Linked DNA regions of Callithrix jacchus. Each later gene encodes a partner of the first gene's protein in a complex. Links are inferred from orthologs where the notes say so. Each region holds a gene or a part of one and is shown on either strand. Other genes may lie near its edges.

Region 1 (3,808 bases):
AATCCGAGGGCAGAGGAACAGCAGATTACAGTGACTAGGGTGCACCCTCAGGATTAGGGTCCTAACTGTTCAAATTTATGCATTACAATGTGTATTTCTCAGCCCCTTTTCTTGCACACTCAAAAGAGCAAAGATACTTGATGTCTAGTGACAGCATGGCCAGTTTCATTCCTGGGTACAGCATGCCAGGGTTCTGATCTTTAAACAAACCAACCTGCTAGGATGTATAATTATTGAAATATTTTGGGAAATCTAGTGTGCTCTTTAGCATCCAGCAAAAACAAAAACAAACAAATAACAAAACACCAATGTAACTCCAAGACTAGAGCTAGAGTTACTTCTCAGAGGCTTAGGCTCTTGTTTGAGTGTTTAACTTGATGTTTAATGATGCTATTTTGGGTGGAGGAACTTGTTTTTATCTTGTTGGGAGAATATCAGATGGGTCAGTAATAAGAGAATAGTGCTTAATGGGAAGCAGAGAAGGATCTCCATGCTATTTCTCGATTTTACTCTCCCAGTTCTGGCAATAAATGTAATCCCACCATGAAGACAATGGAGAAATTAAGATGAACACTTTACAGAACCAAAGACTAGAGTCTTGCTCTGTTGCCCAGGCTGGAGTGCAATGGCAAGATTTTGACTCACTGCAACCTCCACCTCCAGGGCTTAAACAATTCTCCTGCCTCAGCCTCCCAAGCAGCTTGCCTCCCAAGCGCTTGCCTCCAAGCCTGGCTAATTTTTGTATTTTTAGTAGAGATGGGGTTTTGCCATGTTGACCAGGTGAGTCTGCAACTCACAACCCTCAGATGATCCACCCGCCTCAGCCTCCCAAAATGCTGGGATTACAGGCATGAGTCACTGTACTTGGCCTTACCTGACCTTTTCCATGACGTTAAAATTAGGACTTTGGTTTTTCATCTGAGTTTCTTCATTTGTATATCAGAGAAACTGTTACTTGCTATTCCTTTAATGGGATTCTGAGAATTCAATATAAAGTATTTTTAAAAGGGTATTTATAGTTTATTTTTTCTTTTTAAGATGGGGGTCTCACTCTATAGCTCAGGCTGGAATGCAGGGGTACAACTGTAGCTCACTGCACTCTTAGAACTCCCAGGCTCAAGCAATACTCCTACCTCAGTCTCTCAAGTAGCTGGGACTACAGGCGCATGCTACCATGCTTGGCTACTTTTAAAAATGTTTAATAGAGATGAGGTCTCACTATGTTTCCCAGGCTGGTCTCAAACTCGTCGGTACAAGTGATCCTCCTACCTCAGACTTTCAAAGTGCTGGGATTACAGGCATGAGCCATCGCGTCTGGCTGGTTATAGCTTCTTGTCTGAAGGCATTTAATTATAATCAGTGTCTTCTAAAACTATTAATACACACTGCAATCAGAGTTTCTTGTTCAAGAAAAAGCTCAATTTAACAAAAGAGAAAAATATGGTGTCCCCAAAGAAAAAGTTCCTGCGTCTTTAATTTGCTTTGTTTTCTTGAATTTATGGTGCAGTTACCTTCTACATTAAAAAAAAAAACAAAAACAAAAAAACCCTCTAAAGTAAATCAGATATGTCAGGGCAGGCTTAAGATACCAATTTCATTACACGTATTTTGAGGTTCTAAATATGTAGGGCACTGAAGATTCAAAGATAAGCATGGATAATTTTCTATACTTCATAAGACTAGAAATGGAATAACATCTGCAAACCTATGAGCAAAATAGGAGAATGAAACATAGTAGAGAGAATAAAGTAAAGAGAAGCTCACATTGCCAAAGTGTGACTCACAGCTCTGTCACTTACTGGAACCCTGAATGGAATCTGGTAATCTCTCTCGTCTGTTTCCTTGACTCTAAGATGGGAATAATAATGGTATTTGTTCCAAAGGGTGACTGGACATTAAATGAGACTGTGCACATAAAGTGCTATCACAGGGCTGGGCGTGGTGGCTCACGCCTGTAATCCCAGCACTTTGGGAGGCCGAGGCAGGTGGATCATAAGGTCAAGAGATCGAGACCATCCTGGTCAACATGGTGAAACCCCGTCTCTACTAAAAATACAACAAATTAGCTGGGCATTGTGGTGCGTGCCTGTAATCCCAGCTACTCAGGAGGCTGAGGCAGGAGAATTGCCTGAACCCAGGAGGCGGAGGTTGCAGTGAGCCGAGATTGTGCCATTGCACTCCAGCCTGGGTAACAAGAGCGAAACTCTGTCTCAAAAAAAAAAAAGTGCTATCACAGTGCCTGGTATATGCAAGGTCAATAAGTGCTAGCCATTTTTAGTGTCTTCCACATAATGGGTCTTAATATATGGCCCATTTTCTTTTTCCTATACTTCAATTTCTAAGAGACCATTCTTTCAAAATGAAGTCTTTAAATGATTTCTTATACCAATAATCTTTTTCTTCTGGGGACTTCTGACATTATCTGAGACTGATACTACTCAGAATTCTATAAGGAATCAAACTCTACTTTGAAAAGACCCCTTGTCATGGGAGTCAATCTAAATAATCAAACCCCAAACAAATAGATGAATCAGAAAGTAAAACTGACATGGCTGTGAGGGTAAAGCTCAAGATTACTAGTCCAAACAGTGCCTTATGGCAGATAAAATGTGACTTGCCATATAATTTTTATTTGCCCTTGCTTTTCAGCAGTAGGTCTGTGGCTTAAAGAAGGCAACATGGCTGCTCTATTGAAGTCGGGTTTGCATTCTTGACAACATTTTTCATTAATGACCGCCAGGCCACCTTACCTGCCGCTTTGAGAAGAGCGGCCAGCCTGGTGGACCCTCTCCCAGCTGCTATATGCAGGGGTGTAGTTCCATCGTAGGTAGTACTGTCCACATGGGCATCACCCTACAATCCAGCCCACACAGAAAAGCGTTAGTAGAAGGTTCTTTTGCCCTTTTGTCCCCACCTCCCAGTGTACATGGCCCCTCGGGTCCTATTACTAGCCCCGTTGCTACTTTGGGCTGGCTCTGTCATTGAAGAAATCACCAATTAGAGATGCCAAGCAAGAGTGGGGGGTGGGGAATGTCTGAAGGGGCTACTCTGAAGCCCTTCATAAATGTTAAATAAATAGAGTTGATTGTAGGGAGAACAGCAGCTATTGACTTCATTCTTTGAAGATTTCCTTAAATCTCCCTCAGGAATTCAATGAAAAATAAAATAAGTGTGTCCTTCACCTCAAGGAGCAGGCAGCCAGCCAATGAGATGTTGTCGTGCTCCACAGCTAGGTGCAGTGCTGTGCGTCCGGACTTTTGCTCCTGAGCATTGACGTTGGCCCCAGCGGCCACCAGCAGCAGCAGACATGGCAGGCTATTGCTCATCATGGCTAGATGAATGGCATTCAGACCTAGAGTCCAAGCAAAGGGACAGTCACAGGATGGGATGGATACTCACAAGATGGCCCTTGGTGAAGCTGAAGGAAATGGCAAAAACTGGATCATAGGGAGGGACAGTAAAGGCACTATAAGTCTATTGTTCTGCTTTGAGGACCCACAGTCTCCTATTATGTTCTCAGGAGACACTGGGCATAAACAAACATTCTCTGAATGAATGATGCTTTATGCACTTCAAGATGAATGTTTACTCAGGCCTCTGCTTTTTCCTCCTACTATTCCAAACCATCTTCTAAAAAATTAGCTTTGGTGAGCAACAGAAATGACCAAAAGAGATGATGAATTCCAGGTGACTAAGGAAAGTCCTTTTGGGTACAAATCAAATAACACACATTTATCAAATACCTAGTAGGTATTTACAAGGCAGAAAAAGTTATACCAATGATGTGATTGCCTCTTACCGTCCCCGT
Region 2 (4,517 bases), on another chromosome or scaffold:
TGCATATCATAAGCCTACAGAGACAATGGTGTCTATCCCTGGGAAGTTTTCATTGTAACATGTGATCATTACTACCCTGGAGGTTCTATCTGATTTTAATTTTTTTTCCTTCACACTTGGTCTATCTCTGTTGAGTCAGATTTCTTATATTCTAATATTGGGGGAAAGGTGGAGATTTGAAGAGAGGGGAAGGATTGGTTAGTACATGGCCAGTCAAGGTAAAGATGACTGCAATAATCACCAGAAATCTCTGCAGAACTATAGAGGCCTCCCGGGACTAATCCTGAAGAGCTCTGATTGAAGTTTGCTTTCTTTTGCCTATACCAACTCTATCAAGTAGAATTCAGTCCATGACTTGTAGACTTGGAGGTGGAGATGGGGTGGAGAGCAAAAATTCTATTTCTGCAGGTAAAACCAGAGCACAGTGAGCCCAAACCCCTTTCTACCTGGGTGGCATGAATGAGTCCAACTGCTACCGTCCCCCCGGACAATGGAGCAAGGAGGGGCGGGCAGGACCAGACTGCCTTCAGCCTCCCGCAGGATGCCTGGCAACTAGTTTCTTAGTGGTCCTTACGGTCCAAGCGCGGTTTAAGGTACTAACTAAACTCATTCTTCAGTCTCCTTCTCCAAGTGTTCCTGGAGAATTGCTCAGTTTGCACCCAGAAGTAGGCTCAGGATCCATTCTCTGCAGCAGCACAATGTAGGTCAGAGAGCATGAACAAAATCGCTACTTAGGAACACAATAGTTATTTTGTTATTGCAAAGTATCCACAACCACTACTACAAAGATTAGCACCTAGCTTTACTTAGGGGGAAGAAAATCCTGGTCCTATTTAGCAGTTTCCCCCGTACAGGGAGAGTTCACCCCTCCCCCAGTCAACAGAGCTCTTCTTCCATAGGAACTTATTTGAGAGTTCTCCAAGGATTTAGGTTTTCACTCCAAAGCTTTCACAACTTCTATCTGGCGGGGTGTGCGGGGGTGGGGGTGGGGGTGGGGGTGGGGGTGGGGGTGGGGGTGGGGGTGGGGGTGGGGGTGGGGGTGGAGAAGCTAAGCGTCCCGGTGCTGCAAAGAGCCTGGTATTGGTAGAAACACGTCGGCGGCCTGCAGCCTTCTAATCACAGTGCGTCCTTCCCCTTAGAGAGAAGTCTGCGGAAAGCAAATCCCTACACCCAGCCATCATTTCCACTCTTGCGTTTTCAAAAGATCAAAAAACGGAAAAGACCGGCAGGTTGGCAAACCCCAAAGAAGGACTGCCCATCAGGTCGGCGTCCTTGGGATCTCAGCAGCCGACGACCCCAATTCAAAGCGATCGTGGGAAACCCCAGGGAAAAATGGTTAACTTGCAGAGGGACAGGATTACAGGGTGCAGGCTGCAGGGAAGTACCGGGGGCAGGGGGCCTGGTAGGAAGGACTTTCCAGCCACTCGGCGCTCATCAAAAAGTTCCCTGTCCGTGACCCCAGTGCCTCATCGCAGGGAGTTTCTCCGATGAACCCCAGCTCAGGGTTTAGGCTTCTTTTTCCCCCTAGCAGAGGACGAAGCCAGTTCTCTTTTCTGGTCTGACTGGCTTGGAAATTCCCCGCGCCTGACCCCGCCCCAGAGAAATCCCCAGCCAGCGTTTATAAGGGCGTTGGGGCGGCGCTGCAGAGCCCACAGCAGCCCGCGCCGCCGTACCGTTCGCCAGCGCTCCAGCGAGGAAGCAGCGCGCAGCCCGCGGCCCAGCGCACCCGCAGCAGCACCCACAGCTCGCCCGAGCAATGTTCCAGGCAGCCGAGTGGGCCATGGAGGGCCTCCGCGATGGGCTGAAGAAGGAGCGGCTGCTGGACGACCGCCACGACAGCGGCCTGGACTCTATGAAGGACGAGGAGTACGAGCAGATGGTCAAGGAGCTGCGGGAGATCCGCCTAGAGCCGCAGGAGGCGCAGCACGGCGCCGAGCCCTGGAAGCAGCAGCTCACCGAGGACGGGGACTCGTAAGTGGCGCGGGCCAGGGGTCGTTGGGAGGACCGGACGCGCGCAGGCGGGGCTTGGGGGGTGCTGGGCCTGCAGCCCGAGCCCGGGGACCAGCGCTGCAGCCGGGCCAGCACCGCGGCGCCCCGGGGCTCCTGCACGGCGCCGAACGCTGCAGGGCCGCAGGGCCGCGCGGGACTCCGGCTGGACTAGGAGGGGCAGAGGCTCGGCTCTGGTGGACCGCAGCGTCGCCACACGCCCCCTCCCCCCCATCCGTCCTCTAGGCCGGGGGCGGGGCGGCGGTGGGGACGCGAAGTCCCCGGTTGCATAAGGCGGGGCGGGAGTTTCTGGCCGCTGGCGGGCGCCTTGCAGCCGGGAGGGGAAGTACAGGGCGTTCCGAGCCGGCGGGAGGGCGGGGCGGTCTGGCCGGCGCCCGCCGAGGCCTGAAGGAGGGGGGCGGAAAGTCCCTGGGCGCCTGCCAGGAACACTCAGCTCATAATAACCTCGCGGAAAACACCGCGGCCTCGGCCTCCAGAAACCCCGGCCTTGCGCAATCCCCCGCAGCCCGCGCCTCCCTGGGCCCCACGCGGTGCACTCACCACCCCTGGGGGTTTTTCCCTCTTCCCCACAGGTTCCTGCACTTGGCCATCATCCATGAAGAAAAGGCACTTACCATGGAAGTAATCCGCCAGGTGAAGGGAGACGTGGCCTTCCTCAACTTCCAGAACAACCTGCAGCAGGTGCGCACGTGCCTGGCCCGGGCTTTCTTTGACCCTGGGACAGAGCTGATGTAGCAGAGTCACCCCAGATCCTTTCTGAATTAAGGGCCACTGGGCATTATTCACCCCTGCCGTTTACTTCGCATCAGCCCCCATCCTAGAGAGGGAAGGAAATTCTATGGATTTGGTGAGGTCTTTATGACCCACCTGGAGCCTCTGCTATTTGCCAGCCCTCCCCACCCTCCCACCTGGGAGGAGCAGCACCCAACCAGGAGACATTGGGGATCCGGGGAACTCGGGGTGTGGGTTTGATTCATGGCTTACTCTCTCTGGTTTCTCTTGCACTGGTAGACTCCACTACACTTGGCTGTGATCACCAACCAGCCAGAAATTGCTGAGGCACTTCTGGGAGCTGGCTGTGATCCTGAGCTCCGAGACTTTCGAGGAAATACCCCCCTACACCTTGCCTGTGAGCAGGGCTGCCTGGCCAGCGTGGGAGTCCTGACTCAGGCCTGCACCACCCCACACCTCCACTCCATCCTGAAAGCTACCAACTACAATGGTATGTCTGCCTTCCTGCCCTGCCCCACCCCCTCAGAGGGCAGGTGACATGCAGAAAGGGCACGTGGGCCAACTTAGGGAGTCCAGGAAAGAGCTTAAACTCCCAACCTGTGAAAGATCGAGAAAAGATGTGTGCAATATGCCTATTGGATACATTTTAAAAGTCCCTTCAGAACCCAGACTGGGGTTCTTAAAATTCAGAAGACATGACTGTTTGTCCCATAAAAGAATAGGTGAAAGGTGCTGCTTTAGGAGGGTTGAAACAAATGGTTATGCTTTTTTCCTTTTGTTCTTCCAGGCCACACGTGTCTGCACTTAGCTTCTATCCATGGCTACCTGGGCATCGTGGAGCTTTTGGTATCCTTGGGTGCTGATGTCAATGCTCAGGTGAGTGCTTCCTGCCTCCCATGTTCTGAGTCAAGCTCCTCGTGCTTGTGTTGCAAGCAGAAATTCCAAACGCAGCCATAGGCATCTCAAATTCCTTTTGGTTTCAGGAGCCCTGTAATGGCCGGACTGCCCTTCACCTCGCAGTGGACCTGCAGAATCCTGACTTGGTGTCGCTCCTGCTGAAGTGTGGGGCTGATGTCAACAGAGTTACCTACCAGGGCTACTCCCCTTACCAGCTTACCTGGGGTCGCCCAAGCACCCGGATACAGCAGCAGCTGGGCCAGCTGACACTAGAAAACCTTCAGATGCTGCCAGAGAGTGAGGATGAGGAGAGCTATGACACAGAGTCAGAATTCACGGAGGATGAGGTGAGTCTGAACTGCTTCAGTATTCTGTGAAATTAATGGCGGGGGGGCTTTCCCTTCACCCTCCCAGTCCCCTAGAGCTGCTCTTCATTAGAGGAATGTCCATGTAATGAATCTCTCAAATTTCTGTGTATAACCAGTATCCCAAGAATGTGCCTTTTTTTTTTTTTAATAGCGCACTGTTTTTTTTAAAAGAGAAGCATTAAAGGCAAACTCCCTCAACCTGTAAAGTTCACTATATTTGGGCTACGGAGAATGGAGTCCAAGTGTTATTTCCAGTAGCAGCTTCCCCATCCCAATAGCTTGGCAGAGCTCCAGAAGTTTAACGTTCTTTTTTTCCCTTTGTTTTCAGCTCCCCTATGATGACTGTGTGTTTGCAGGCCAGCGTCTGACATTATGAGCACAAAGGGTCTGAAAGAACGTGGACTTGTATATTTGTACAAAAAGAGAGTTTTATTTTTCTTAAAAAAAAAAAAAAAAAAAAAAAATTTAAAGGGTGTACTTATATCCATACTGCACACTGCCTGGCCCAAAACA

What was found.
Region 2: the proteins of NFKB1 (region 1) and NFKBIA are in contact, whole or in part, in a crystal structure (PDB 1NFI), measured with the Homo sapiens proteins. The link is inferred for Callithrix jacchus from reciprocal best matches to the Homo sapiens genes NFKB1 and NFKBIA. Residues at the interface, in NP_001158884.1 of Homo sapiens: Lys251, Ile252, Val253, Arg254, Met255, Asp256, Arg257, Thr258, Ala259, Pro326, Lys345, Leu348, Tyr350, Ile353; in NP_065390.1 of Homo sapiens: Asn108, Asn109, Leu110, Gln111, Arg140, Tyr181, Pro214, Cys215, Asn216, Arg218, Tyr248, Gln249.

The regions. Positions count from the first base shown.
Region 1 is NC_133504.1:94,725,986-94,729,793, forward strand, and holds part of NFKB1 (nuclear factor NF-kappa-B p105 subunit), read right to left. Parts: coding exon 3,800-3,808; intron 3,353-3,799; coding exon 3,183-3,352; intron 2,854-3,182; coding exon 2,751-2,853; intron 1-2,750.
Region 2 is NC_133509.1:69,916,298-69,920,814, reverse strand, and holds the start of NFKBIA (NF-kappa-B inhibitor alpha), read left to right. Parts: upstream 1-1,647; 5' UTR 1,648-1,756; coding exon 1,757-1,971; intron 1,972-2,579; coding exon 2,580-2,688; intron 2,689-3,018; coding exon 3,019-3,229; intron 3,230-3,526; coding exon 3,527-3,615; intron 3,616-3,722; coding exon 3,723-3,983; intron 3,984-4,332; coding exon 4,333-4,380; 3' UTR 4,381-4,517. UniProt on the Homo sapiens protein: Inhibits the activity of dimeric NF-kappa-B/REL complexes by trapping REL (RELA/p65 and NFKB1/p50) dimers in the cytoplasm by masking their nuclear localization signals.